Linked DNA regions of Canis lupus familiaris. Each later gene encodes a partner of the first gene's protein in a complex. Links are inferred from orthologs where the notes say so. Each region holds a gene or a part of one and is shown on either strand. Other genes may lie near its edges. The genes, in order: RBSN and RAB4A.

The links.
Region 2: the proteins of RBSN (region 1) and RAB4A are in contact, whole or in part, in a crystal structure (PDB 1Z0K), measured with the Homo sapiens proteins. The link is inferred for Canis lupus familiaris from reciprocal best matches to the Homo sapiens genes RBSN and RAB4A. Residues at the interface, in NP_001289307.1 of Homo sapiens: Glu441, Gly442, Trp443, Leu444, Pro445, Ser447, Glu454, Pro458, Leu459, Gln461, Gln462, Asn465, Ile466, Phe469, Asp480, Glu481, Thr484, Leu485, Asn488, Leu492, Glu495, Gln499; in NP_004569.2 of Homo sapiens: Tyr10, Leu30, His31, Ile34, Glu35, Ile46, Gly47, Val48, Glu49, Phe50, Gly51, Ser52, Lys53, Lys63, Gln65, Trp67, Arg74, Phe75, Ser77, Val78, Ser81, Tyr82.

The regions. Positions count from the first base shown.
Region 1 is NC_049241.1:5,261,190-5,276,567, forward strand, and holds the start of RBSN (rabenosyn-5), read right to left. Parts: upstream 10,394-15,378; 5' UTR 10,094-10,393; intron 1-10,093. UniProt on the Homo sapiens protein: Rab4/Rab5 effector protein acting in early endocytic membrane fusion and membrane trafficking of recycling endosomes. Required for endosome fusion either homotypically or with clathrin coated vesicles.
Region 2 is NC_049225.1:10,355,472-10,370,849, reverse strand, and holds the start of RAB4A (ras-related protein Rab-4A), read left to right. Parts: upstream 1-5,658; 5' UTR 5,659-5,677; coding exon 5,678-5,738; intron 5,739-11,003; exon of another isoform or gene 11,004-11,197; intron 11,198-15,378. UniProt on the Homo sapiens protein: The small GTPases Rab are key regulators of intracellular membrane trafficking, from the formation of transport vesicles to their fusion with membranes.

The DNA.
Region 1 (15,378 bases):
TAGGATACCAAGCTCTGCCTCTCTGTTGCTGGCCTCTATCTTGGGACCTGGTAGCCAGGCCTTGGAGAGTGAAAACACCTGATTAAGTGTCTGGGCCCAGTTAAGTCCCAGAACAGGCCGCTCTTACAGGCAAGACTATATTTGGGGTCAGATGATGAACCTTTTTTTGAGTCATTGTGATTTTGCCTGTCATTCTACCATTTACAAAAGCCAATGTCACATTCACCATTTCACTTGCTCAAAAAAGCAGTGACAGTGTGGCCTGCAGCTTGTAAATTAATTCTGAAAATCAAGATGGATCGGCCACTGCTGTTTTATTTTATTTATATTTTTAAAAGTAATGATGATGAAGAACTTCTTGTGTGCTTTACAGTTTATCAAAAACATTTTCATTATTTAAATCCCTTGGATAACTCTATTACTATTTCTATGTCAATAATAATAATGGCTAATATTTACTGAGTGATTCACATGTGCCAGTCATTGTTTTATGTGTTTTATATGCTGGGACTTACTTGATTCCCACAAAACTCTATGTGGTACCAACTAATATTATTCCCATTTTTAAAAAAGATTTCATTTATTTCTTCATGAGAGATGCAGAGGGAGAGGCAGAGACATAGGCAGAGGGAGAAGTTTCCCTGTGGGGAGCCTGATGTGGGGCTCAATCCCAGGATCACAACATGAATGAAAAGGCAGATGCTCAACCACTGAGCCACCCAGATGCCCCCTATAGTTCCTATTTTTAAAGTGACAAATCTGAGGCACAGAGAGATCAAGTGACAACCTCCACTTTTTCTTTCTCCGCAAAGGCCTGGTCTCTGAGCTGTCCTGCATCTCTCAGCATCTTCCAGGTGCCGATCATGTACCAGGCATAGAGATAGAGGATGTGAGAAAAATAAGGCAGGATGGTCTCTCAGTCTCGAAGGAGGCCATAGCTGTCAAAGAATAAGGATACAAACACTCATATATCAGTTAGTTTAAGAGAGCGAGAGAGAGACGTGTGCATATGTGTGCAGATGCTCTGGCATCAACGGGGAAACTGGTGAAATCCCCCGTGGGACTTCAGGGAAGGTTCCCAGAGGCAGAAACACATGAGCAGAGTACTCAGGGAAAGATAATCATGAAGAACCTTCCAGGCTAGGGGAACAGCATATGCAAAGGCATGATCGTGGAGAAGAACACGTGTCCCTTGAGAAACTTAGAAAAAGTCATTCATGCTTACAGCATTGTTCCCAACACTGTAGGGAGCTGATTCTAAGGGTGGACTCAATCTCTTCACTTTTGCCTTCCACCTTATGGTTCTCTCTCTCTAACTCTCTCTCTCTCTCTAGCTCTCTTTTTCTGACCCCTTATTGTGGAAGTCTATCCGAAGCAGCACAAGATGTCTTGGCATCACATTAAAACCCCTGAACAGGAAAGGGAAATCACGATGCCGTAAGCATACGTCAGGGGAAAGTGTGCACCACGTCATGCAACTCCCCAAAGATCTGGCTTCCCTCCAGGCTGGCCCAGGCCCCAGTTCTGCTGGCCGCCACCAACTGCTACTGTGGTGGTGAGTGGGCAGGCAGAGGGGGTACAGGTTGGCACACCCCGTCCACTGGCACAGGAAGATGAGGGTAATGAGGGAAGAACTGGCAGGGCTGTGGGAAGCAGGGCCTGGTCTGCAGAATTGGCAGAGGGTGTGCCAGGTTGAGCAGTGTCCACAGGGAATCTGTGGCACCTGCTTAAGGTCAGTAGGAGAGGAAGCAGAGAATGGAGGAAAGAAAAGAGGAAAGAGGGAAGGAAGAGAGGAAAGCAAGTAAGGAAAGAGAGAGAAAAGAAGGACAAGGAAAAAGTTAAGAGGCAGAAAAACATCATGGTTATAAGTAAGACACTGGGTTTTAATCCCAGCCCAGTAGCTATATGTGATCCCAGGTCACTTAAATTCTCTTAGCTTTAGTTTCCTCGTCAGTAAACTGGGATAATAGACCTCCCTCCTAATCTGGAGGACTAAACCAGTTCCTATTCGGAAAGTGCTAGAACAGTGCTTGGCACATAGGAAGGACTATGTAAATATTTGTTAAATAAAGAAAAAGGAGGGGAGATGTCTTTCAAATGCCTTGGCAGTTGTGTCAGCCTGAGTCAGACAGTGCCATAGGAGGTGTGACGATCCAATCTGGTGTCATGGAAACATCTCTGAGAGTCACGGCCCTGCCAGATGGGAACCCAGATGAGAATCAAGTAGTAACTACATTCATTGATCTAAGGGAGGTGGGGTGAGCAATGACACCCTCACAGATCTGAAAAGTACGATCCATGTGGATCTCTTGGCAGGAGGGCATGTGAACTGCCAAGGCCACACAATCTACAGGTTGCATGCTGGCATCTCCTTGGACCTACTTTGTAGGGCCACCACCAGCTGTAGAGGTCTTTAGTGAATGGGAGAGAGACTCCCCGTCAACAGGTGAGCCCTGTTCCAGCACTCAAGCCTTGCACTTGGTGAGTAGGGCAGCGACTGGATTTCTGCTCCCGCTCGATCCCTCAACTGTGCTGTCCACAACCTGCACCAGAGGCCCCGGGGCGAGGGCCAAGAATGAAGGTTCAACACAGTCCTCCAGTCGAGAAAAATCACACTGCTTATCTGTAGTTTCAATTTTCATTTTTCTGACCTAAATCTCCAGAGATACGTGTGTGCCTGGCCATTTGAGAAGTTATCCCAAATCCAAATGAGATTTGAAATAATCCATGTATATGTGGTATTTTAAGTATCTGGGGCATTTAAGAGAGTCTGTCATGTAGAACATCTAACACATTAGACACATGACTCCAGTTTAAAATGTGTAACTCGGCAGTGGACTTGCACTTTTAAGTTCATTCAACAAACTCTATGTTAAGCACCTGCCTACATGGAAGCCTGAGATAAACCAGACAGTAATTCTTGCCTTCAGGCAGTTGACATTCTACTGGAGTGACACAGACGCTGCACAATAGCTACACTAGATAATTGCATTTTATAGTGTGTTAGAAAGTAATAAGTGCTATTGGAAAAAAAGCACAGAGTAGAGAAGATGGGGAGTGTCGGATCAGAGTATCTAGTAGGGTGATCAGAGCAGGTGTCCTAAAGAAGGCACCATTTGAACAAAGACCTGAGGCCAGTGAGGAATGAGCCATTCCATGCAGAGGAAACAGCCAGTTCAAAGTCCCCAAGACAGGGATGTGTGTGGCAGATTGAAGAAAAAGTAATGAGGCCAACCCCCGTGTTCCTAGCAGCACTAGTCACAACAGCCAAAAGATGGGAACAACCCAGGTGTTCATCAACAGATAAATGGATAAACAAAACGTGTTCTGTCCATACAATGGAATAACATTCAGTCATAAAAAAGGAATGAAATTTTGGTATTTGTGACAAGATGGATGGACCTCTTCTGTTATGCTCAGTGAAATGAGCCAGATGCAGAAAGACAAGTACAGTATGGTTCCATTTATATGAGATCTCTAGAATAAGCAAGTTTGTAGAGATGGAAAGTCAAACAGATGTTACCAGGGGTGGGGGGAGTGGTGGCTGGAAGTTGCTGTTTCATGGGTATGGAATTTTTATTGGGAGTGATGGAAAGGTTTTGGGTATAGATAGTGGTGCTAGCTACACTACATTGTGAATGTATTTAATGCCAGTGAATTGTACCCTTATGAATGGTTAAAATGATAAACATTATGTGTATTTTGCCACAATTAAAAAAAAGTAATGCCAACAGAGCTGGGACAGAGAGGGCCAGGGAGAGACTTAGAGGAATTAGTTCCGAGAGCTCAAGGGGAGAGGGCAGGTCATGGCTACTGCAGGGACTTGGGCCTTTACTCTGAGTGAGGTGGGGGCCAGGGAAAGGTTTGGAGTAGGGGAGGGACAGGATCTGACCTCTGGCTTCTGTACTGAGAAGAGATGCAGATGGCAAAAACGCCAAGTGTGCTTGGCACGAACTGAACGGTTGACAAGTATCAGCTGCAAGGATTCATATCAAGTCTCAGAAAGGAAGCACAAATTCCAACAGTAGGTGCCTCTGGGAAGGGGAGCTGGAGGTGGAGGGCTCTGCAGTAAGCGGAGCAGGGGGCTGTGAGGAGCTGATGCAGCCACCGGGGGGCGCCATAGGACCAAGCGACAGCCGTGCACACAGCTCAGATTGTCCACTCCTGGATGGTTCTACGGATTCCTTTATTTTTTTCCCCTAAAGATTTCATTTATTTATTCATGAGAGACACAGAGGGAGAGAGAGAGGCAGAGACACAGGCAGAGGGAGAAGCAGGCTCCCTGCGGGGAGCCCAATGCGGGACTCGATCCTGGGACCTCAGGATCACACTCTGAGCTTAAGGCAGGCGCTCAACCACTGAGCCACCCAGGCGTCCCGGCTCTACTGGGTCCTATTGTCTTCCGAGGCTCCCTCCTCCTGTCGGGCAGAAGAGGGTGAAGACCCCAGCACTGTGGGGTGGGAGAGTCAGTCCCCCCATCCAGCTCCTGCACTGCTGAATTAAGGCCCCTTTCTCTTGCAGGGGCTGGACTGAGCATTTGAGGACAGTGCGGAACTCAGATGGCCCCACACACAGCCATGTTCTGGACTGGCCTTCTGCCTTCAACAGAGCTCTTCAGTTCTTTCCTTTCGGGGACCCCAGCTCAAACCTACTCTTTTAACAGCCCTTTCATTACAGTGAACAGTGCCTCCATTCAGCCAGGTGCTCCAGTCAAAAGCCCTGGGATCATTTTTGACTTCTCTCTTTCTTTCACACTCCACTTCTAATCCATCAGCAAATCCTGTTGGGTTTTGCTCTGAAATGGATCTGGAATATGCCCACTTCTGCCCACTTTGCCACCACCCAGGCATCTCTCACCTGGATGACTGCAGCAGCCTCCTCCCTGATGCCTTTGCCTCTGCCATCACCCCACGAACACCTACAGACTCTGCATCTCATACAGATGGAAGGTCCTACTGGAACAAAGTCATGTCCCTCCTCTGCTCAGCACCCTCCCAAGGCTCCCTCCAAAGTCTTCACAATGGTCCACAGGGCCCTACACGACCTGGCCTACAGTGCTCTGCAGATTCATCTCTTGCCACCATCCCCTACCCCAGGGATGCATTCACGATGGCCTCCTTGGGCTCCTGCTCTCAAGCAGAGGCTCCACCTCTTGGCATCTGCGTTTGCTGGTCCTGTGCCTGGAATACTCTTCTCCCAGATTCTTAAATGTCTTTTCTCCCTCATCTCTGCACGCATGTCACCTCTTCTCTGACCCCACTATCAAAATAGCACATCCCAGGCCAGAGCTGGGACCAGGAGAGGCAAGTGAGGTGCCCAGGGTGCAGAATTTAAGGGGGCACTCACTTCCAGGACCGTGCAAGTACTGGCCGCATTTTTGCACTCTGGGGGCCTCACTCCCCACCCCCTGGTCCTGGCTATTCACCAGCATCCTTACTCCTTTACTTCTGTGTCGCTACTTTGCATTTGTTTTCTTTCTCACTTAGGAATACGTGCCAGAGTTGACTGATCACCTTCCTCCTCCTGGGATGAAGGCTGCAGGAGGCTGGGAATTTTGTCTCATTTACTACTGTATCCCCAGCCTCAAACTATGCTGGTCCATAAAGGCCCTCAGTAAATGTTTGTTGAAGGACTCAGTGCACAAATGTGTATCTTGGGCAGGTGGCTGAGTCTCTCTCAGCCACCATTTCCATGTCTGTAAAATGGGGGTGAGAGGACCCCACACCTCCTCGAGCTGTGGTGAGGACTGAGATTGTATGTCTAACACAAGTCATGTGGTTTCTGATGTACAGTGTACAGTCAATAAGTGTACAGTCAGTAAAGGTCAGCTGTTGTCATTATTCCTGTGAAGCCATGGATCCCATACTAGGGAAGGTAATGCTAGTTGCTAACAAACCAACTGCAGGATTTTGGTGCCATAACAACTTGTAATGGCCAGTGCAAGTTTTTCTGATCAGTGGGGCCAGTGGGGGAAGAAGGAGGTGAAGAAGAACTCTCTCTTGTCAGTCATTCATTCCTTTGGAGACTGAAGACAATCAAGCCATGGCTTCAATGTCTGGCTTCTAAGGTCACCCTGGAGCTCGTGTCCAGCCAAGAGATGAAAGAACAAAGAATGGAAAAATACACCCACTTCTCAACCACCTGACCCAGAAGCAGCATCATTCTCTTGCACCTTCATTGACAAGAACCCGTCACATGTCCCCTCCCAGCTGCAATGAGGGCAGGGTAATGTGGGGCCAGGCTGGGCAGCTACATCCCAGTGTTGCATGCCATGGTGGAGAAGCACACAGCTGGCCTTTTCTGCCTTAGAGACTTTCTTAGATGAGGTCTACACTCCCTGAAAGCCTCAGGCTTGAGCCTCTGCCAGGCTGTCAAGTCACCAGCTTTGCTGGCCTGGTGTGAGAGACCACCCCAGGTATCAACTGTGGGCACCCCACCCTAAGGGGGTGATGCCCTGGATTGCAAAAGATAGCAGTGGAAATCTCATGGCCTCAGCATCTCTCTCTCTCTCTCTCTCTGAATCAAGAGGATGCAACTTGTCACAATGGTCTTTAAGGCTGAGTTTCTGGCCAATTCTCTTCTGATCAGCAGATTAGACAGCCCAGCATAGCTAATCACAGTCAACGTGTGAGGAGCAGAAGACCACAAAAGTGTTGAAAAAATAGAGAAGAGTCTGGGAGAGGCCAAGTCTTCCCCTACACTTTTAGGGTTCTTTTCCCTCTGATTCTATGGGTAGCCAAATCTCCCCCACTCCTCACCTTTGTCTCTTCTCTACATCATCATCATTATCACTGTTGAGCGGACGCCTGTTGCATTTTCCTGGCTGGCATACACCCCCTTCATACTGGTAACATCTTCAGTCCTTGGGGGAATCACCCTCCCCTGCATCAGTCTGTGTGGTTAGGTAATTTCCATAACTCTGTGCTACAGAATTTGCTATTGAATCCATGACTTTTACGTGAGATTTAAAATCCAGCTGGGCCCCACCGCCGAGCAACCTCTCATACTCCCACTGCCTTCTCACCTCCAGAGTCTTCTTTTTCTAAAAGCTCTGTGTCCACTCCTGGGAAGTCTTTCAAACTCAATAGTGCACATGCACCTTCTGTAAAAAGAGAGGCTGCCTCTGGCCAGGCATTGGCCCACATGGACTGAGAGCTGAGAGGCTGGTCTGGGGAGAGAGCTCCCTTGCTACAGAAGCTCTGTCAGTCAACTATTGCTGTGTAACAAACACTCCTGAGCTCAGTGGCTTAAAACAAACCACTAAACTCAGTGACATGAGCATTTGCTTTTGTTCACTAGTCCACTTACCAGCTGGGCAGTTCTTCCGGTCTTGGTTGGACCCTCTCCTACATCTGAGATCAGCCACTGCCCAGGTATGCAGCCCTGAGGATCTTGCCAGAGCTCTCTCACATATTTGGGGATTGATTTGTCTAGAACAGCTTTGACTGGGTTAAATGAGTTCTGCTCCATGGGGTCTTGTAGCTTCTATCAGGCCAGCTCGGGCTTGTTCACAAAAAGAGAGCAAGCAAGGATGTCTGGGTGGCTCAGTGGTTGAGCATCTGACTTTGGCTCAGGCTGTGATCCCAGGATCCTGGGATCGAGTCCTGCATCGGGCTCCCTGCAGGGAGCCTGCTTCTCCCTCTGCCTGTGTATCTGCCTCTCTCTGTGTTGTCTCTCACAAATAAATAAAATCTTTAAAAAAAGAGAGAGAGAGAGAGAACAAGCAGAAGCATGCAAGGTCTCCGTAGGCTAAAGCTCAGAACTGTCACATTGTCACTTCTGCTGTCTTTTAGCCTTCTGTTGGCCAAAGCAAGTCATAGGACTGGCCTAGATCCAAGGATGGAGAAATGGACCCATCTCTTTCGAGAAGGAACCACAAAGGGGTAGGTATCCATTCATAGGCTGCCATCACAAACAGACTGGGTGACTTAAACAACAGAATTTTGTTTCCTCACAGTTCTGGAGGCTGGAATCCAAGATCAAATTGCTGGCAGGACTGATTTCCTCTGAGAACCCCATCCTTGGCTTGCTGATGGCTTCCCCCTCTCTGTGTCTTCACACAGTCTTCCCTCTGTGCATGTCTGTATCCTAATTTCCTCTCCTCCTAAAGACACTGCATGGGTTTGAGTTCCTGTAATGACCTCATTTTAACTTAATCACTTCTTTAAAGACCCATCTCCAAATATGGTCACATTCTGGGGTAGCAGAGGTTAGAAGTGCAACATACAAATTTTGAAGTTATATAACTCAGTCCATGAAGGATAGAGACTATGCCCATCTTTGCTTCATCTAGCACAGACACCTTGCTTTATCCTACGTATGATGATGACCCTACAAAAACATCACCAATTCACTCACGAGGAAGCTGAGGTTCCCAGGTGGTAAGTGGCTTAGGGAACCAGCCCAGAAGTCCAGGACCTTCAGACTAAAAGGCTCTCTCACATTCCCTTTTCCTCACTGGGGGTATGTTCCCGGGCAGAGCCCAAGATGGGGGCAGGTTATCTGGAAAACCAGTTCTTCCTCTTGAACAAGCTGATGTGAGAAACAGGGCAAAGGCCAGCCATGCCCTGCCCCCATGGGTCCCCTCCTCCCTGGATCCACACACAGAACACCCAGGTCTCCCCTCCCTTGACCTGGAAACACACTGGTTAGTTCTTGAAACAGAGCCTTGAATTCGGGATGTCAGGCACACTTCCCAGGCTCCTGCAGGGTGCCACTCCTGGTCCTTTCCAGACAGTTTTAAAGCGGGGAAGAGTATCCTTCCCACATTCGTATCAGACTGCTTTTTACTTCTGGCATAAGCTGTGCTGTTTTCCTGCTTCCTCACCTTTGCATATGCCATTCCCTCTGCCTGAAGTGCCCTTCCCTTCTCTCCTACCCCTCTGAGCCTGGCTAACTCCTCATCAACCTCTAGAACTCATTTCAGTGGTGCCTGGGTGGCTCAGTCAGTTAAGCATCTGCCTTTGGCTCAGGTCATGATCTCAGGGTCCCGGGATCGAGCCCCCCCATCCTGCTCAGTGAGGAGTCTGCTCCTCCCCCCTGCTCATGATCTCTCTCTGTCAAATAAATAAAATCTTTTAAAGGGGGTTGCTGCTCCTGTCTTAATCATGTACCAGCCACACCCTACTTGTGGAATTTGAGCAAGTTCTTTTTTTTTTTTTAAGATTTTATTTATTCATGAGAGACCTGAGCTGAAGGCTCAACCACTGAGCAACCCAGGTGCCCCAAATTTGAGCACGTTCTTTAGCCCCTCCGTGCATTAGTTTCTTCACCTGTAATTGTGTGAAGATCCAGGGAGTTACTATATGCCAAGTACCTAGAAGAGTCTCTGGCACAAAGTCAGTATGCAGAGATGCCTGAGTGGCTCAGCAGTCTAGCATCTGCTTTTGGCTCAGGGTGTGATCCTGGAGACCAGGGATCGAATACAACGTCAGGCTCCCTGTGAGGAACCTGCTTCTCCCTCTGCCTGTGTCTCTGCCTCTCTTTCTGTGTCTCTCATCAGTAAATAAATAAATCTTTTTTAAAAAGTCAGTATGCAATACATGTGAGCTATTATTTGTGTTATTATCCCCCAGAGCCCTGAATAGGACCTGGCCCGGGAGTTATTTGCTGAATTAATGAATTATGAATGACCTTCAGCTTCATGAACAGAAGACGGGAGCATGGGGATGAGAAATAAGAATATCACCAAGCGCCTTAAGCATTTTAATTAGAGCCTCCTGCACGCCCCCGTGCTGTCTGGCCACCGCTTTCTGCTCCTATTTTTGTTTAGCCTGGGTGGCACTTTGAGGATCAGAATTTGGGGCATCATCTTCTGCCTGCGTCCTGAGCCCATGTGCCAGACCCAGTGGCCTCCCACATGCCTCCCAGCCGCTGCTTTAAATAGCTTCCTTTTGCTAACTGTTAATATAAAGCCGGGAGCAGAGCTTATGTAAGCCGACCAGCATTTCCCCCAACTTAGCTGAGACCCTGAGTCCTGTAAATCCCACCAGAGGGGGCATGCGGGCTTGTCCCACCAACAGGGGCCCTGGAGCATCAATCTTCTGGAGAGACAGGTGGCAGAGGCTCAGGGGAGCTCTGGGGAATCACTCACCTGTCCCTGGTTGTACTTAAAGAATTCAGATACTTGTCTCACATCTTCCCATTGATCTGGAACAGACCTGGACCTCGGGGTCTTTGACATTCTCCATGTGATTCTGATGCTCAGCAAGATTGAGGATCACAGGCCTAGAGCCTCTGGCTTCATCTACCAACCACTGGGTGGGCTCTTTCCAGGCATTAAGCAGGGGTCTCACTTTCCTGACCCCCACCCACTTTTTATAAGCGACAGCAACACTTCTGGGCATAGTCCTTGAGTCCACTGGGTGGTCTGTGTGCCTCCTGTGCAATTTTGCCCTCTCTATAAACCACCTGTTACTTACTTTGAATACTACTCACTTTTAAATTTTAACTTCATTCTAAGAAGATGTGAAATAATGGACTGGATGTACTAGTCTGTTTTCTTTAATACACAAATAAAGGCCAGACTGTTAAAATTTAAACCCATATGCTACAGAAAATCATTTTGTGCAGAGCCAGGAGAGGGAGGGAGCAGGGAGGAGTCACCCCAGGGTACATGGGATCAGGGAATAGAGGGTGCCTTCCAGGGTTGCATATCAAGAAAGGCGATGGGACAACTCCCAAGTCAAGACCAGCATAAGTATGTGGAAAATGCTTAGAATATCTCTAGGGGAACCTACAAGAAACTAGTAAAAATTACCACCTCTGGATCTTTTGGACCTTTTTTTTTTTAAAGATTTTTTATTTATTTATTCATGAGAGACAGAGAGAGAGAGGCAGAGACACAGGCAGAGGGAGAAGTAGGGTCCATGCAGGGAGCTGACATGGGACTCGATCCTGGGCCTCCAGAATCACGCTCTGGGCTGAAGGTGGTGCTAAACCGCTGAGCCACCTGGGCTGCCCCCCCTCCTTTTTTTTTTTTTTTTACTTTTAAAAATAAATCTTTCGGGGTGTCTGGGTGGCTCAGTTGGTTAAGCGTCTGCCTTTGGCTTAGGTCATGGTCCCAGGATCCTGGGACTGAGTCCTGCATCAGGCTCCCTGCTCACCAGGGAGTCTGCTTCTCCCTCTCCCTCTTCCCCCTGCTCATTCTCTCTCTCTCTCCTCTCTCTCAAATAAATAAACAAAATATTTTTAAAAATAAAATAAAAAAATAGGGCAGCCCGGGTGGCTCAGCGGTTTAGCACGGTCTTTGTTATTTTTTGTTTTTGTTTTTGTTTTTTTTGTTTTTCGAGCAAAACAAAATCAAATTTAATGGTCTTAAATGCAAAAGTAAAAACAAACAAAAAACACAAAAAAGCAAAAGAAAATTAACAGAACAGAACAACCCAAAATGTCAAGGCAGTTATGAAGAGAACTTGGGAGGGTTAATCTTTAAAACTACAAATCAAAGTGTTTTTTTTTTTTTTTTGTTAATAGATAACTGGCAAGAAGTAAGTACTTTTCTGCTGAGTGTTCATACGAAAGCAAAGTTTCAAAACAAAATCCGACTAAAATAGAAACAAGTCTAGCGCTCACGAGAAGGGATGCGAGAAATACAATGCTCAAATGTTTCTGTGTTCTTAAAATATAGAGCGATCTTAGGCATTCGAGCTGTGTGAACTGCTCTTGGAAAGTGGAGAAATGGTTGGGAACACCAGCGCCCGGTGTGCGGGGCACCGTTAGCACGGTCTTTGGCCCAGGGTGTGATCCTGGAGACCCGTGATCAAGTCCCACGTCAGACTTCCTGCGTGGAGCCTGCTTCTCCCTCTGCCTGTGTCTCTGCCTCTCTCTGTGTCTCTCATGAATAAATAAATAAAATCTTAAAAAAAAATAAAAATAAATCTTTTTATTTTTCAAGAGAAAGAATGGGCTTAACAGAAGAGTCGCAGATAGAGATGCCAGTGTCCCACTCCAACTTTAGCTGAGAATGTCCAGTGCTATCCAGGTAGCAGTGGCACAGAGCTGGGGTGGGGGCACCTGGCGTTCTAGTCACTGGAGACCAGCTGCCCTATGTGTAGGACACTTCGGTTTCCTCAGGCTTCACCTAGGGCAGATCCAGAAAACAATCTTTTCACTAAGTTTTGGCTCAGTAGGTGCTCTCTGAAGACATATTGGCTCTCCATTCCATTCCTAGATGCCGGGCCGTATAAGAGAGCCAGGCTGAGTATGCCTTGGCCAAGTAGAAGGCCATGAAGACACCAGTCTCAATAAGCTGGAGGAAGCATCCTGAGGGGTCCCCTGCAGCAAGGTCTCAGGGTCTGGAGGCCCAGAGGACAGAGCAAGGAGCCGTACAGGCATCATGGGGCAGTCACATAGTACTGAGTCTCGGTTAAGAGAGCAAACTCGTCTTCCCAGTAGAGCTGTACTGGTTAGGAAGTTGTTCCTGGGATGCCTGGGTGGCTCAGCTGTTGAGGATCTGCCTTAGACTCAGGGTGTGATCCCAGACTCCTGGAATTGAGTCCCACATCAGGTTCCCTGCACAGAGCCTGCTTCTCCCTTTGCCTATGTCTCTGCATCTCTCTCTCTGTTGTGTCTCATGAATAAATACATAAAATCTTTAAAAAAAAAAAAAAAGGAAAGTTGTTCTTGAGAGAGTGAGGTTCTCATCACTGGAGGTATGCAAGCATGAACTGAAGAAATATGTGTCAGGTAGGTTGGGGAGAATTTTACTATCCTCCCTGACCTTTAAGGCTCTTTGAATGATGGGCTTCTGGGATTCCAAATCCCTGACAGGAGCCCTGCCTCCTCTTTTGCTGGCAGGTAAAATGTGAGAGAAGGTAGGAGGTACTCTCCTGCCTCTATGCCAATCTCTTTGCCTCCCAAGAAGAATTTAGGTGGGTCAGGAGCACTGTGATAGGATGATTGAGGAGATCCTCAGGGTCTTCCAGAATCAAAAGTCATTGTTCGGCATTGATAGAAGAACTTTGGCCTTGGGGGGCACCTGGGTGCCAGACAGTTGATTAAATGTCTGCCTTTAGCTCAGGTCATGATGCCAGGGTCTTGGGATCAAGCCCCACATCCGGTTCCCTGCTCAGTGGGGAGCCTGCTTCATCACCCTCTCCCTCTGTCCCTCTCTCCTGCTCATGCTCTCTCTCTCAATAGATAAATAAAATCTTTTTAAAAATAAAGAAAATAAAAATAAAGTAAAATAAAAAAGAACTCCAGGAGCACCTGGGTGGATCAGTGATTGGTTCAGGTCATGATCCCAGGGTCCTGGATGGAGTCCCACATCAGGCTCCCTGCACGGAGCCTGCTTTTCCCTCTGCCTGCATCTCTGCCTCTTTCTCTGTGTCTCTCATGAATAAATAAATAAGATCTTTTTTTAAAAAATCTTAAAAAAAAAAAAAACTTCAGCTTTGGAGAGGTCCCTTCAGGAACATAGGAGATGGTGGGAGGCCTAGCAACCTCCAAATTAGTTCCTCTCAGACCAGTGTGGGGCCTCAGGCAGTACTGTGGCCTCTGACTCAGGCCTCCTGCCCAATTTGAGGCTCCAAGGTATTATAAACTGCAATAGATTTAGTTCAATTCAAAATAATTTAAAATTTTTTTAGTTTTTTGATAGGTATAAAACAATAGGCAAGGTCATGTAGTGAGAAGTGAATCTTCCTTTCATACTTGTTCTCTGGAGCAACCATCAATCCTGGTGTCTTCTAGAACCACACGCAAACATATGCACACATCTCTCATGAAATGTGTTTTGAGCACCTACTAAGTGTAGGGGTGGGGGCTATGGAGTGAGGGAGCACAGACCGGGGAGTTAGGCCTCGGTCCACGAGTCAGCTGGTAATACTTGACTGTGCCTATCTGCTAAGAGCAAATGTTTACTTCCTGGGGACCAGGCACTGTTCTGGGATCTTTCTGGTTTTTATCTCATTTAATTCTTACCACACATTAGTTGGGGTTCTTTGAGAAGCAGGCACCAATATGACATTAGTTGTGAAAGAGATTTTGGAGGGAAAATACCTGTGACGGAAAATAGGGAAGGAGCTAGAATACGATCACCAGATTTAGTAGACAAAAATACAGGACATCTATTTCAATCCAAATGTCAGATGAACAATGAATACTTTTCTAGTATAAGTATTCATAGGCAATATATCTGATACATACTTATATTAAAGAAGTATTCATTGTTTACCAGATGGTATAAATGTAACCGGGCATCCAGTACTTCATCTGGAGGCAACTGAATCACTGGACCATAATGCAGGTCTGACCCCTGCTAGCTGTTGTTAGGAAAAGATTATTTATGACTGTCCAATAAAACCTAAGCATGAGACCCTTCAGATGTATATCAGTGCCCCATAGCTTGGGAGATGATTGTCAACATATATCTTGGTGAGGTAGAGATAAAGGAAGCTTCCAAAGGATTTTTTTTTTAAAGATTTCATTATTTATTTGAAAAAGTGAGAGAGAGAGAGAGAGAGAGAGAGAGAGAGCAGGGAGGGGCAGAGAGAAAGAATCTGAAGCAGACTCCACACTGATCCCAAAGCCTGAGGCAGGGCTCGATCTCACAACCCTGACATGACCTGAGCCAAAATCAAGAGTCTGATGCTTAACCAACTGAGCCACCCAGTCCCCCTTCCAAAGGAATCTTTATATGGTAAAGAAGACTCACAGGATCTTGGTGGTCAGGAAAATGTTAAGCTAAGATTGCCTTTTGCCCTTAGTGAAGTATTAACACGAGGCAGCGGAGTTCTTACAGGAACATCATTCTGCCTGTTTCATTCGGTGACTTGCCAATGACCAGTAAGTAGTAAGGAAATTTGATTTTTTTAAAGATTTTATTTATTTATTCATGAGAGACACAGAGAAAGAGAGAGGCAGAGACACAGGCGGAGGGAGAAGCAGGCTCCATGCAGGGAGCCCAACGTGGGACTCGATCCCAGGTCTCCAGGATCACACCCTGGGCCAAAGGAAGTGCTAAACGGCTGAGCCACCGGGGCTGCCCTGATTTTTTTTTTTCTATTGCCTTTTTTCCCCACTTCACTACTACCTCCTTTGTCTGTGGGCTCTTATACCTTAGGCCACTATCCCTCTGCCCTAATCACCCCACCCCAGACAGCTGGAGAGAGCTCCTGTGTCCCAGAGTCTGCTGGAATTATTCAAACCAGCCAATCCTAACCAGCTTACCCTGCCTTCCCAGTTTCTTCCCAAAGAAGCCACAATAAAGTCTCCTGCCTACGTTTTCGTCCTGCTTCTTCTCCCTCCTGACACACGAGGTGGGTTACCACACAGCCCTTAGTGGCTTTGCATGCCCCTTCCTCTTAGGAGAGCTGTGAATAACAAACTATCTTTTTTTTTTTTTTTTTTTTAAGCAGGTGCTACACCTAGTGGAGC
Region 2 (15,378 bases), on another chromosome or scaffold:
AGTGCGTGTGCCTATGAGACTTGGGTCAACCTGGGTGCTGAGTGCTCACAATGGAGCCAGCATGAGTGGGGCAGGTGGGTCTGAGTGAGAGATGAACTTCACTGTGTTAGTTACAGGCATGTTGGGAGATCTTTTTCACTGCAGATAACTTAGCCCATCCTGACTAAACATTCCCTAGCAGACGTGTCCGATTACAGAGGTGTAGTTTTGGATGGCCTTAGAAGGCAGACTGGTCCACTGGCCTCTGAGGTCTCTTCCAACCTGAAGAGTTGTGTGTCACAGGTATTTAACAAGGTCACCTTTTCAAGCCTCTACCTACCTGGGTAGAACTTGGCTCCTTCTCAAAGTAACACCTAGATATTTCTGAGTCCTCAAGGACTCAGACACAAATTGGCTTAGGTTCTTCAACTCTAGCCACCAAGTAAAGTCACCATGCCTCACAGACTGTTGTGCTCTCTACCAAGTTTAGCTCTGCCAAGGATGCCATGTCTTTTCATTCCCAGTGCCACTGCTTTCTCTTTCTAGGCCTTTTTAGAACTCCCTTCCAAGGGACTGGATCACCTTTCTGGGTCCAACCCTATGCATAGGCGTCTGAAAGGCTCTTCAGTCATTGTTATATGCCCACTGTCTCTACAGAGAGACCACTGTCCCAACCCATGTGGTCCTCTCTACCAGTCCTGGGGAACAGAAATTGTTGTGAGGCTGGCAGCCCCCTGAAGTTCCTAATCAGTCATTAAATGTGAAGCACTGCCAGGGAGGAGAGAGAGTACCAGCTACTTGCAGGACCCACTGTCCTGAGGAAGAGTGGATAGGAAGAGTAGATCTATTTTGGAAGAAATCTTTCTCCCTTCATTTCCTGTAGACAAATCTTCAATGTGCTTAGGCTTTTGGAAATCTACTTTTACTCTATCACAAACCTCCTCTAAAAAGAAAGGAGAAAATAACTGGAGAAAACACTAATTTTGCAGTAAGCTTTCTTTTCACACAATCAACAGCACCTCAGAATGAAAGTGGTCTCTGAGGGTTTTTAGAAGAAATTTATTTATTTATTTTTTTATTTTTTATTTATGATAGTCACAGAGAGAGAGAGAGAGAGAGAGAGAGAGAGAGGGGCAGAGACACAGGCAGAGGGAGAAGCAGGCTCCATGCACCGGGAGCCCGACGTGGGATTCGATCCCGGGTCTCCAGGATCGCGCCCTGGGCCAAAGGCAGGCGCCAAACCGCTGCGCCACCCAGGGATCCCCAGAAATTTATTTTCTCTCAAAGATGCAAAGTTACTAGGATGCGAAGGACCTTTCACATTATTATTCAAAAAACAGTTCCTTCAAATCTCAGCTTGAGTATTTCCTTTTCAGTTGGCGATATCTGGCTTTTATTTGCAAATGAAATGACTTCTTTGGGTAATTTTTCCAAAACAAATAGTTTTCCTCAAAGGTCTAAGTCTCTTCATGGTCCACAGAATAGAAAACTGTTCTCAACTTTGAAATAGCAGCTTAATTTTTATTTCTATCACTCTGTCCAGATTTCAGAGATCTTGAGGTCCGGTTTCAGTCAATAACCCAAGCAATCACTGTAATCCAGTGATTCCTTTCTTACCCACAGAAGGTTCTGGCAGGAAGAAAACTTAGATCTAAAGAATGGCATCCCTGTCTTTCTTCTGAAATAGCTTCCATCAGGTTAGCCTGCTATACTCAGTAGGGTAAATCAAAACTAACAGGCAGAAAACCAAATAAGACGGCAACAAAGTATCTCAGCCATTGAACAAGAAATATATACAAAATAATTCTAGGAAATTATCATTTTCACAATATTTCAGCATGGGACCTTCTCTGTGATTTAGAAGCCAGGATGTGTTTATTTGCTATTAGGATCAGAAAGAAGAACAAAATGTAGAGCCAAATGGCCATTGGGGAAGAGGGGAAAGGCCTCAGTGAAATCTGATGCCAATTTATATGGAGGATGGAGCCAAATGGACTTGAAAAAAAAATGTATTTACTAGCATTTCCCATAGTCCAAGTTACTTAGGAGCTTAGCCAAGGCATATTTTTAGTATTCTACTATATCTTTTGAATGAAGTTGGGTCTTATGATGTGGCCCGGATCATGCTTAGATAGAGCAAACTCCCAAGCAAAATTCTCTTCGTAATATATGTTTATCTCTGCATGTCCAGCAGAAGGGGATTCTGAATTCAGTTTTGCCCCTTAAATCAAAACTCCTAACGTTAGTTGAGAACCAAGAGATGCTTCCTGCCCGTAAGCCAGACTCCCCTACAGTGGGAGGCAGAGGGGCCACCCTAGGGTGTTCCACAAGCGCTCCTTAAGCTGCGGACGGTTTTCCGCAGACACCAGCCTAGCCCTACAGGAGAGGCCCGGGAGGTGCGGGCGAAAGCTCAGTTTCCACCGCAGGCAAGCCAGGCTCCTGGCCCACCGGGCTGGTCTCTAGCAGGACAGCTGGGGCTACAGCCTCCGGGTTATACATTAACCTCCTGCCCGGGCGATCAGGACAGCTTAGAAGTCTCTTCCGGCCTTCGAACTGCTACGGACGACGACGAGGCCGGCTGCGGAGAGCCACCCGGGCGGGGCCGTCTTCCCACCGCAGGCGCTCTGCCGCCCCTGCCCAGGAGCTGGATCTCGGCGTCCCCTACGCTCCGTCACCCCACGCCTGCCGACCGCAGGGCCCTCCTCTGCCACTCGACTTTGGCCAGCTGCGCCCCTCCAGCCGCGCCCGCATCCAGCCCCGCGCCCCGAGGCCCCCGCCCCCGCCCCCGCCCCCGCCAGGCCTTCGGGATCCGAGGACCCGCCGCGAGCTGCGCGCGCACGCGCTACCCTGGCGGGGGCCGGGCCTCACCCCCTCTCCTCCTCCTCCTCCTCCTCCTCCTCCTCCTCCTCCTCCTCCTCCTCCTCCTCCTCGCGGTCGGCGCCCGGCCCGGCGGGGGGCGGGGGCGGGGGCGGGGGCGGAGGCCGTGCGCCTGCGCGGAGCCGGCAGTCCGGCAGGGCCGCAGCCGCGGGGTGGCCGGCGGTTGCCGTGGGGACGGCGGGCCCCTCCCTGCTCCGGTCCCCCGCCCCGAGCCAATCCCGCCGAGGCGCCGAGGACGACCCCGGCCCTCCCCTCCCGCCCGCGGGGCCGGAGCTGCAGCCGGTGACCCGGCGAGAGGCGGTGCCGCTCCCAAGATGTCGCAGACGGCCATGTCCGAAACCTACGGTACGAGGCCGGCGGGGCGCGGGGGGCGCGGGGGGCGCGGGGGGCGCGGGGGGCGCGGGGCCGGGGGCGCGGCGGGGGCCGGGGGCGCCGGCCGGGCGGTGTGGAGCCCACTTACGTGAGCTGCTTTTTCAAGTTTTCTCCTGTTTTTCCCCGCGCTCACACCAGGAGGGTTTTCCCTTTCCTGGTCCAGTTTCATTAGCTCAGGGTTTGGGAAGCCAGTTCAGGACTTTGCTCTGCGATGTTGTCCCCAACGAGGGATGGGAAGGACTTAGGGCGACGCCTGCATTCCTGTGTGTTCCTCGAATATTCCAGCTTGACCTTTCCTGGTTTGGAATTCCTTTCTTTGCCCTGGGATTACAATGAGAAGTAATCAATAGACTAATCCATGTCTTCCTGCGGAGACCTCTTGCCTCCTTTATTTCTGTTTCTCAATCTCTCGGGCTTTTAGTCCTTTCTGGGTTGCATTATGGCTATTTATAAATGTGCCTTTTTAAAACCATAAACACCCTGGAAGCAGAGCTCTGTTTAATCTTTGCTTCCCCTGAAGCACCCACCCCTAGAGGGGTCTCCACAGATAATTTTTCGAGTAATCGAAAGCCTTTCCAATTCATAGACTGTTTTTGGGTTTGTGGTGTTTTAGCCCTGCGAGGTAAAAAAATAAATAATATCGTACATGTCTACTTTGCCAGGCTTGAGATGTTTACCAGTCACTAATCACTTGTTCAGATGTGTGCATTCTCAGATTAACCCTTAGATTGGGAGTTTTACAATCCCAGGGAGAGGTTCAAGTTCAAAAGTATGTACCTGAACTTAGATCACTTGTGCTGGCCTGCTGCTCTGGCAACATAGGTGGAAGGGCCTGATGGAGCAGGCAGGGTGCTGGGAGGCGCTGTCAGTGCTGCAGGCGACACAACAGGCGTGGTTCTGGTCTCATGGAGCATGCAGTCTAGTGGAGGATACAGAGCTAATGCCATCGTGGTACTACAGAATGAGTAGTTAAAGCTCCAGGCTGGAGTTCTGAAGGAGTGTGCTCTAGGAAAGTATGTTGGAAGGAAACCTGGCTCAGACTGGGGAACCCAGGAGGTAGTTAGTAGCTGGTCAGCATAGCAGAACAGCAGATGCCCAGGCCTGGATGGGAGAGAGGTGGAGTTCCAACAAGGGGAGCCTAAACAGTGGAGCAGGGGTGAGGGTGTGGTGGAGAGGGCCTTTGGCAGGTTTCCACCTTTCTCCTCAGAGGTATGAGGTCACAGCACATTTGCTTCACCTTCAGCCCCTCCTATGACTTGTGTTTGCCCCATTCTTGGGGCTACTTGGGGCATTACATCTATTCCTAGAAGGCTTGGGAAATCCTCCAGGAAGTCCATGGTGCTTTAAGTGTTGTCAGAGCTGCAAATGGTCCTGTGCATCCACGTGGTCTGCTTCTCCCTTTAGATAACCACGGAGATTTTGTGAAGAAAATACATTTCTCTAGCAATTTTTTGGCTGTACTTTTGCTTTTCTTTATTTTCAAGTGCTCCTTACCCCGTACGCTTTATTTCTTGAACCTGGATAAGTAGCATTAGATAGGGGTGAAAAGTCAAAATAAAACCAAATGGGGATAATGAGTTAGTAAGGAAGGACTTGAGTTTTCATTTGTCTAGTATGAAATAGCCTTGATAAAATACTGCATATCTCTGCTTCACTTTAGACACAGTTAATTGAACTTTTGAGCATCACAGATTAACTGATTAAATGATGATCAAAAGGCTTTCACCAATAGTATTCTAATGTCATGATACTTCCCAAATATGTTTTTGCTGTTTTTACTCACAATCTCATCTTTTCTCTAGTAGAGGCAATTAGAGAAAACTAATGGAATAGAAAATTCGTTTTTGAAACAGCAAAAGTAGCAGTTGAAATTGTGAACCTAAAACAAGAATCAACCAAAAGTCCTAAACTGTCACCTTCATTTATCATTGACTGTATTTGCATAGCATTGTTCCCCAAAAGTAAAACAATCAGGTTCCGGCTTCCAGACATTTGCCTCTTTGATAGCTAGTAAAGGAATGTGTGCCTAACCTTTAAACTCCTTCATGCTCTACGCTCATTTTTCTCCTCCAGAAAAGAAGTCTCTGTGTAGCTTGACAGGGATAGGATGAAAAATAAAGAGCCAGTGCTTACACAGAGTACCACTAATTAGCTACATCTACCTGCTTTTTAGCATATTAAGGCAATGTTTCACCTTCCAGAGACTGAGTAGTTTTTAACATTTTGCTGCCCTGAAACCAATACCACATACTGTATATAATATATACTGTGCATGTAATATACCACATACTGTATATAATATTGAATACTGTATATAACATTGTAATACAAAGTTGAAATTTTAAACAGGTTTCAGATTGAAACCCTGGATTTTAATATCTCTAAACTGAAACAGTGTTTCCTAAATATTGTTAGATTTACAGCATTCTTAAAGCCTTGACCAGTTAGTATGGCTTATAACTTCCTGAGGAACTCCAACCATCCAAGACTTGGGAAGTCAGAAATCGGCTGTAAGTAATGCCTAACACCAAGACTTGTGAGACAGAATTAACAAACTGAATAGGTAGTACCAAGCAGTAATGATCAGAAAGGAGCTAAAAAGTAAGTGGTGCCTGAAATGCCAGAAAAAAAATAATAAGGAGTAAAGCAGTCTACCACTGAGGAAACATCTAAGATAAATCTCTACACTTTGGAGTTCATGGTTTCTATAGTAAATACAGTTTGTGAAACAGAAACATTACAAATTCTTAGTCTTATGCTGATTTTTATTACAATATAGTCTTACTATTTTTATTTTGTGCCTTACTTTGTTTTTGTTTTTTTAAGATTTTATTTATTCATGAGAGAGAGAGAGAGAGAGAGAGGCAGAGACACAGGCAGAGGGAGAAGCAGGCTCCATGCAGGGAGCCTGACGTGGGACTCGATCCCAGGTCTCCAGGACCATGCCCCGGGCTGAAGGTGGCGCTAAACCGCTGAGCCACCCGGGCTGCCCTTGTGCCTTACTTTGAAAGCACAGTATTAAAATATTTACCACCTAATTTGGAGAATTATCAAGATATCTTCTTTTAAAAATATATCATTATAGACTGTTGTTGGTTGAATTGTATCTCCCAAAAGGCATATTTAGGTCCTAACCCCAAGGACCTGTGAATGTGACCTTATTTGGAAATAGACGTAATGTAATCAGGTCAAGACAGGTCCTATTGGATAAGGGTAAGCCCTAATCCAGTGACTGATATTCTTATAAAATGAGAGAAATCTGCATAGATAATGCAGAGAGAATGGGATACAAAGATGCAGGCTGAGATTGGAGTGATGTATCTACAAGCCAAGAATCACCAAGAATCTCCGGCAACCACCAGAAGCTAGAAAGAGGCAAGGAAGGATCCTTTCCTGGAGCCTCTGGGAAAGCATGGCCCTACTGACCTCTGATTTTGGACTTTTAGCCTCTAGAACTGTTAGACAATAAATTTCTCTACTTTTATACCATCCAGTCTGTGGTATTTTGTTATGGCAGCCCCAAAAAACTAATACATAGGCTTTGGTAGTTAGAATACGATTCATAGAGAAATTGGGGCTTATTAGGAGAGGTAGAGTTAGGAGGTTATTTCAGGCAAAGGAAATAACATCTCTAAAGTTATGTGGTACCAATAAAGTATAAAATAACTTACTGTTAGAGAAATCACCAAGATAACCGTTACCTTGTTAATTTCTTGAAAGAGGGGCATCTGGGTGGCTCAGTTGGTTAAGCGTCTGCTTTTGGCCTGGGTCATGATCCCAGGGTCCTGGGATCAAGCCCCACATTGGGCTCCCTCCTCATCAGGGAATTTGCTTCTTTCTGTGTGTGTGTGTGTGTGTGTGTGTGTGTATGCTTTCTGTCTGTGTGCTCTCTTTCTCAAATAAAATCTTTAAAAAAAATTTTGTAGTGCTCTCTCAAATAAAATCTTTAAAAAAATTTTAGTAAAAGACAGGGCATGTAAACAAGGTTAATGAAGGAAGCATATAACATCAGGATAAAGGACATTTCTATAAATTGAATACATTTATTATGTTTAATGTTTGTATTTTTCTTTTTCTCATTTGCTGAAAATTGGTGAACATTTTAAGAACCAGAGTTTGGGGAACACTACACCAATGGGTCTGGAACTGATGGGCCTCTGAGCCCCCTGGTGTGTGAAGGTGTGGGTTCTGATACAGTAGATGTGGAATGGATGGAGGTTCCACACCTGATCAGCTCCCAGGCCAGACAGGTACTGTTTGTTGGTTCAGGGCCCTATACTGTACAATGGCTCCAATACCATAGACTTTTGAAAACATTGTTCTTTAGAAAAGTAAAAGTTTGTGATAATTTTTCATGGTCATTTAAACTATAAAGCATTTCAGTCCTTACCTATGAATGTCTCACTCCTAAACCTTTATTTCCAGTCACATTCACTCAGGTTTAATATCTTATATTAAACTCTGTACCTAACTATTCCATTTGGATGGCCTGGGGTATCCTAACACAATGTGTCCCAGACCCAACTGATTACCTACTACTCCCCAACCTTCTATTTGTCTGATGTATCCATTTGCCTAAGGAGAAAGTTAGTCCAGTTTTAATTCTTCATCATCCTGTCTCCTGAGTCCAGTTGGTTTCTGTCTTTTTAAACTGACCCCTTAACATAGTTCAAGCTACCATTTACCCTAGAAGAGACAAGGGAAGATGACGTTGGGGTCAGATTAGTGGATTATAAGGAAAAAAAAACCATCATCCCAAGGTTCTTCATCACAGTGACTTGAGCAGCGATGCTAGTTGCTACCACTCGTGGCATGGCAGCCATGTAACTGCTTAAGCAGCATCAATAGTTGGCATGAACTCACTGGGCAAGGATGGACTTGGTGGTTTCTGGTAGGGGTGTGTTGGAAGGGGTCTTGGTCAAATTTATTTGGGGACCCAGACTATTGGTAACATGTGCCACAGCTTCATAGGAATATCATAATGATTTAAGTAAATGGTTGTGCTCCTTGAAAGATGATTATGTGTCAGCATAAATGTGCACTTTACTTCTAATAATAATAATAATGGTAAGGTCTCCTTTGTTAAGGACCATATCGCCAATGTTTTTTGAAAAGTAACTTGCACTTTGGGCCCTTTGTATGAACTAGCTATTATAGAATTCTTTTGTAAGGTTCAATACTATAGTGGTCACTTGTACCTGTATATAAGCAAGCTAGTGTGTTGATGTTCTTTGCTCTGAATATTTCTTTGGAATAAGAAGAAAGCTGATATTTCTTGAATTTCTTCTCATAAACCATCCCCTAGAGATTGGTTAGACTGCTGTCATGGATTTTTTTTTCCCCCATTCCTGAAAACCCCATTAGGATACATGCCAGTGAAACTAGTTTGAGGGAAAACCTTTGAATCCTCTGTGTTCTGTAATGCTTGTCTCTGTCCCTGCTTCTCTATCAGTCTCATCTTGATAAAGGACTACGCTCTATATGTTTGAAAAATACATTTTTTTTTTGCTTCTCTGTAGCTGTATGATTTAAAAGCTAAAATGACATGTAAGGTATGGATAAAGTAAGACAAGTGTAATGAATGGCACTATAACACATAAATGAAATAAGCACTGTATAGCTACAGATTTTCTTCCTTTGTAATCCCCCTCAAAGCTTTCCAAACCAAAATAAGTTTATATTGAAGAGATTTGACCAACAGAAATGAATCCCATAATGATGGCTGTGATACCTGGAGAAAGAATGCTTTGTGGCTCTGCCCTATGCTACTCAGAATGGTAAACTCTTGTATGGCAATACTTAGTTACATCAGTCTTTTGTTTCTGTTTCTCTTATGTGCTGTGTCTTTTGCATTTTAGTCTTCAAAGCAGCTAACAATATTTAGATATGGAGCTAGGGTACACTATTCATAAAATGCTAATAAATTATGAATGAGTGGATGTATTGTAGAGGTTTGTAATTTTTCAAATATGAAATTTTAATCATGCAGAAAAAATTGGGAACTTAAAAACAAAGTATTTTTCTCTCTTGTGTTATAATTTAAAATATTATATGTAGTGTGCTCCCTTAGTTTTAATACCATTTTTCTTGTTCATTAGCTTCTGATTATTATTATAGGAGTCCTCATAAAATGAGTACTACATCTTTGCCCTGCCTGTGGGGACTTTGCATATTTTATTTTAAGTTTTATTTTTAACTCTCTACACCCGGTGTGGGCCTTGAACCCACAACCCTGAGATCAGGAGTCACATGCTTTACTGACTGAGCCAGCCAGACACCTAGGGACTTTACATATCTATTTTATAATTTGGTCAAATCTCAGTTATGACAAAGAACATTTTTCTTTCAAGATGAGACCATAAGCCCTTTAAAAGCAGTGGACTGCTAGGGTGACATTCTGTCCCTGGTGCTGTGAATGGTTTCTGGACACAGCCTCAGGGACTGCTGAAAGCACTGTTGATTCCATTTGAGGGTGGTGTTTTTCTTCTAAGTTACAGAATATGAAACGAAAGGCCAGGTTAATAGAAAACCCCACTTTAAGGCATAGTTTTCTTTATGGTAGAAGTCAATTTTTACATTGTGGGTAGTGTAATTGCAGCTCTAATTAAAACCTCTTCCACAGATCACATTTGCTTGAATTAAAGAGGTCACACAATACATCCTTTAGGAAATAGATTTTCCTTCTGAGACTTCGATTCCTAAATCAGTTCACAGTGCATGGGAGCAGAGACTTGTGGAGGTACTTTCACTGCTTTCTGGAGTTGAAGGGCCTGACTGCTGCCCACTTAAATGTACCTAAGGAGAGAACATGGTGATCAAGTGGAAGTTGGTCAACTATGGAAGTAAATAAGCTTTGAAGGCAGGTGTATCCATCAAGCACTTTGGGGGAGGAGACTGGCACCCTACGCAGTAGCCAGGGGGCTTTTAGGGGCCAAAGTAACCCTATTGTGGTGGCCGATGTATCAGATGATTTGAATCTGTGGTCACTAAACATTCAAATGTCTGGCATTTGATAGTTACCAAGTAAACAGTGGTTAAATGAACTCCCGTTGTTCTAAGTCCCTCTTACTTAACAACCTCCTCTTTGTAAATTGATTTTATGTGACTAAGAATAAATGAATTTTTAAAATTAACAGAATTTCTGTTTAATAGATGATTAGTTCTTTGGTCATTTTATCAGGTAGAATGCTTCCGGCTGCAAGTGGCAGAAAACCCAACTCAAAATGCTATAGGTAATATGAAAAGAGTTTTTTTCCAAATAACTATAGATGAGGAGGTTTCAGGGTTGGCGATTCAGAAGCTCAGCTGTGTCAGCTAGGACCTAAATGCTTCCCATCTCTCTCCTCCAGCTGGCACTGTTGGTCTCATCCCCCTCAGAGTCATAAAATGACTACTCTTTGTAATCAGGGTGTGCTTTCTTACAATATCCATGGGGAAAAAAGGAGTTCTTCCCTGCATTTATGGAGTCAAAGTCCTTCCTCTCCATCTGGGTGGGCCATGTTGGGTCAAGAGCCTGACCCTGGACCAATTATGTGGCCAGGGTAATACTTCGCACTGTGTAGCTTAAGTTTGTATGTATTTCTGATCAAGTCTCTGGCTCAGAATGACCATAATTGGCTTAAATAACCAAAGTCTGTCTCCAGTTTTGGGGTCATGTCTACCTGTTACTTTGGCTTCTTGGGGAGTAGCTGTTAGGCAGAATATTTACTACAACAGTGCCTACTACAGTCTCCAAAAAATGTAAGCTACAATTCAGTTTCAATCATTTGTTCCAGGCAGTGATCTTCCTGAAGATGATGGACTTAAATGTTCTTCAAGGCCTTTGCTTCTCCAGTGAGGAAGTAGTGAGAGAAAGCAGCACAGTAGGAGAGAGAGCATGGTGTCTGTCTATGTCGGCCATACGCACACACATTAGAATCCCTTGTCTTCTTAGAAAAATTGAAATTTCTCTTGTCATTTTGCAAACACGGTAACTTACACTTGTCTTTAGTTCTTATTGTTTGGTGAATGTGCTAAAAATACTTGGTGTTTTGAAGACTGACATTCCTTTTCTTTTTTTTTTTTAAGATTTTATTTATTCTTGATAGAAAGAGAGAGTCAGAGACACAGACAGATGGAGAAGCAGGCTCCATGCTGGGAGCCTGACATGGGACTCGATCCTGGATCTCCAGGATCACACCCCGGGCCAAAGGCAGGCGCTAAACCGCTGAGCCACCGAGGCTGTCCCTGACATTCCTTTTCAGAGTCACTGTGACCATGGTAATACTTTGGGAGCAAATGGAACTTGGCTATTTGGTGCCCATTGCTATTTTTCCACTTCTCATATATTAGCACCTTGAGTAACTTGTCATAAATATGTACATAACATAGGATACTACACCTTTATAAGAATAAAGTCCATATTGATATTAAGGTGTCTTTTGTTATTATGCAAATAAGATCCTTTAATGTTTACAACTATAAAAGCATTATGAATTAGAGTATTTCCTCTGGTGTGTATTATATAATAACAAAGTTCATTTTCCCTATTACATTTTCCCAAGAACGGTATTATTTCTAGCTATTGCATGACTAAAGAAGTTTGTTGGGTGTGTACTGGTTGAAGATTCTTCTGGTATTAAGCTATTGTTCTGTTTCCATGATTATACTGGGAAATTTTTCCTCATTGGTGTCCCAAGGCTGAATGCTAACTCTTACTCTAGATAAAGGGTGAAGTTAGAATAGTGTACACAGAGTACTTTGTGTCCAGTGTCTCGGATCCTCACTGGGGCCCTCTTCTGGGTGAGGAAACAGAGGTTTGGTACTCTGCCTCAAGTCCCAAAACTGGGAGATGGAGAGCCAGAATTTGGAATCAGCTTTGCCTTGCATCACATTCTCAAGGGCAGTCAGGTTTTTAACTCTGCTTCTCTGTCTTATACAGAAATCTCCTCCATAAAACCTCGGGTCAGTGGTGACCCAGAAGAAACATTCCCACTGGATGTCATTACTCTAGCGCATGTTCTAGACAACCAAAATCTGTCTCCAGTTTTGGAGTCATGTCTATGGGACATTTAATATGAGTCAAAATCTTTCTCTGAACTCAGCATAAAGGGGGAGAGTAGCAGGGACCAAAGCTCATACCTCCCAAACTAATGCGGAAGACCTTTAACATTTACAAGGGATGCTTTCACAGATCTGTGTAATCTCTAAAATTTCAAATACTGTAGTATTTAAGTCTGGCTCAGAGTCAGACAGTTCAGAAAGACAGTATTTTGTATATGTATTCTCAAACAATCAACCGTTCAACTTCTCTCTTTGAATTACACTAGTTATAGTGTTCTCGGAAACATTTCACAAACGACTTGTCCTTCTTAATATAATTTTATTCTCTTGTATCAAAATCAAATGGGACATCCTACTCTTTGAAGTATCCAAAACTTGTTGCACACTTAAGGGTGATTGTTTTTATTAGGTCTCTTTGTGTGCACTGCCCTGGCCACTGACTTCTTTTTTTGGACAGTTTTCCACTTTAGGAGAATTACTTCTTTTTTGTATGTGATTATATCATGTAGAAAGCAACTGAGAACTTGCAGTTTCGAGGGCGGGTGTCTAGCTAGACTCACTCACCTGCAAACTACTTGTGTCCACACACCTGACCCATAGTAGGTTTGATCCAGGTGAGCTCTTCAGCAAAATCACAGATTCTATCCCAGACCTTGAGCAGTCATCAGAGTCTGTGCTGCAAATGTGAAATCCACAGATGTCACAGATCCTCTCTGCTGGCATTTCATCGAGGCTCGGGCAGGCCAATGGAGTCCTAGAGTTAGGCCTTATTGTCTTTCCCACCTGCCTTTCCTCATTTTACCTGCCCTCCACAGATCACATGTTCTTCCGCTGCCCAAACCGTCTCCCTCTCCTAGGCCCTCTCCTAGGCCAACATGTCACCAAGCTCTTTGAAGCTTAATTCCTCTCTGACCAGTGTACCAGAACATTTTTTTTTTCTTTGAAGTGTTTGCCGTCTTATGTTCTGAGCTCTGTGAGCTCCTTCTCATTGCTGGTTACTTGCTGATCTGGGGGTTATTCCTTATTCTACACGTTCACCTGGCATAGGATCTTACCCTCTGCTCCAGCTCCTCCCTGCTCCTGGGTGACTACTGTATCCATGCAGAGAAGCCAGTCAGCAGCTTAGTGTCTGGTTCCTAACTTCATCTCTAGGCACCTTCTCTTCTGCCCCTACCCGAGGTACTTACTTCCCTGGCTGGTCAAATGTCCCATTCTGCTCACTCCCACCCAGTCTTCACTAGAACTGGAGCCTCCTGGGCACCACCCCCCACCTTCTGTCAGGTGATGAGCTGCTCCCTCTCCAGAGAGGAGGACACCATCAGCCTTTCCTTCCACCTCTTCCTTCTTCGTCCTTCAGCTGTATGTGCTTTGCAAATTCCCATCCCTGGCTTCCCAACCTGTCTTGCCTGCTGCTGTACAGACAGAGCTCTTTCCATTAAGTTCGCTATGGATTTATGGTCTGCCCTCAAGGGACACTCAGTAGTGCTTAGCTATCCTCTCTCTTATCCTGGTCATCCTGCCCTTTCGCTCCATCTGCTGTTTTAAGCCATCACTAATCTGTTCAAGCCCATTTTCTCATGTCCAGCATGAGAGGAAAGAAGAACATGCTCTCTCTGCTGAGGAAACTACCTCTCTTCCCCTTCCCTTCTCCAGCCTGTGAAGTTACTTACCTCCACACTCAGCCTTGATCCTTCTCTTAGGGTGTTGGAGGAAAAGAGGCCTCTCTTCTTCTAAGACCAGTCCCTGCCTTCCTCTTTGGACCTCATCCCTCAAGTTTTCAGACTTAACCACCAACCATCCTTTCTTTTGCTCCTGGTAACTTCCATTTTGTTTGCCTTACACTCTAATTCCCCTGAACACTCCACCACTTCTTTCCATTACAGCCAAGCTTCTTGTAAGGATTGTCAGTACTTTTTATCTGTAGCATCCTGCTTCTTAAATCTTCAGCTGGCTGATTTTGCTGTCACATCAGGCGAGGATGAATTCACACCACATTCTTCTGCAAGGAAATGAAACATGGAAGGAATCCTGCAGTCAAGGCCACCCACCTTTGCCTCCTATCTGACCTTTGGAAATCTTAAAAGCCAGGCCACTGTTCATGGGAGAAACTAGGATGGCAAAGGCCATCTTGTCTACTCACTATGACCTAATCTTCTGGAAGATTCAAGGTCGTCGTTGATAACCAATTGCTGAACAACTTTACTGTGCTATTCAGGTCCCTTTCTGGCTTGTTTCCTGGTCAGTAGTTGCCTTTGCTGTCAGCATTTGATTGTCATTGTACCCGTAGCTTACAGTTCTAAGTACATGCTTCTCATCTGCTATGGTCTGGGGAGTTAGACGTTCCTTGAAATGAATGTAAAGACAAATCAGTAAGTTCCAAATGAATGAGGTTTCTCCTGTAGACTTAATCTTTTGGCTGTGTTAGCTGTTTCATTTAGCTTGGAGCCCATTTGTTCCTGCTCTGTATTTTGCCTGTGTTCCTGAATGGTTAACTTTTAAGTAGAAACTGATTTCTATTTATTTGATACTTTTCCTATTATCTCATTTAAATTTCTCATGAAAAATTAAAAGCACATTAGTAGCATATATTCATTTTAGATTTTGTATTTTGGGATATGGTCTTTCCCCACCTTCAAGCTTAATTCATGCTGAGGAAACCCTCATCAGGTGAATGCAGTCATCATAAATTGGATGCAAAATACCTGTATAATGAAACCACACTAAATCTGATATAAGTATACATAATTATTTAACTAGTTTGCATTAGGTTATCTTCTTATACACTTATACAATCTAGTTTTCTTGCCTTACTCTGTAATATGGTTATTTACCTGCTTCCAAACCCTTTCATAGCTGTTAAGCACTGTACATTTGACATATGAAACATATGCTTTATATCTGATGTATGTCATTCAACTTCAAGCAAGGAAAGAGAAAAAGAAAATAAAGCCCACAGATTATAAAAAACAAAGTCAGTCAGTAGAATCAACACACATGCTACCATACCCACAGCGATGGGAGCATGAGGCCAGCAAACCTCAAATGCTCCCTCTCTGAAGACAGAACATCAGGCTGTCCTCTTGACCCCTAGGTTGAAGATGAATGCAT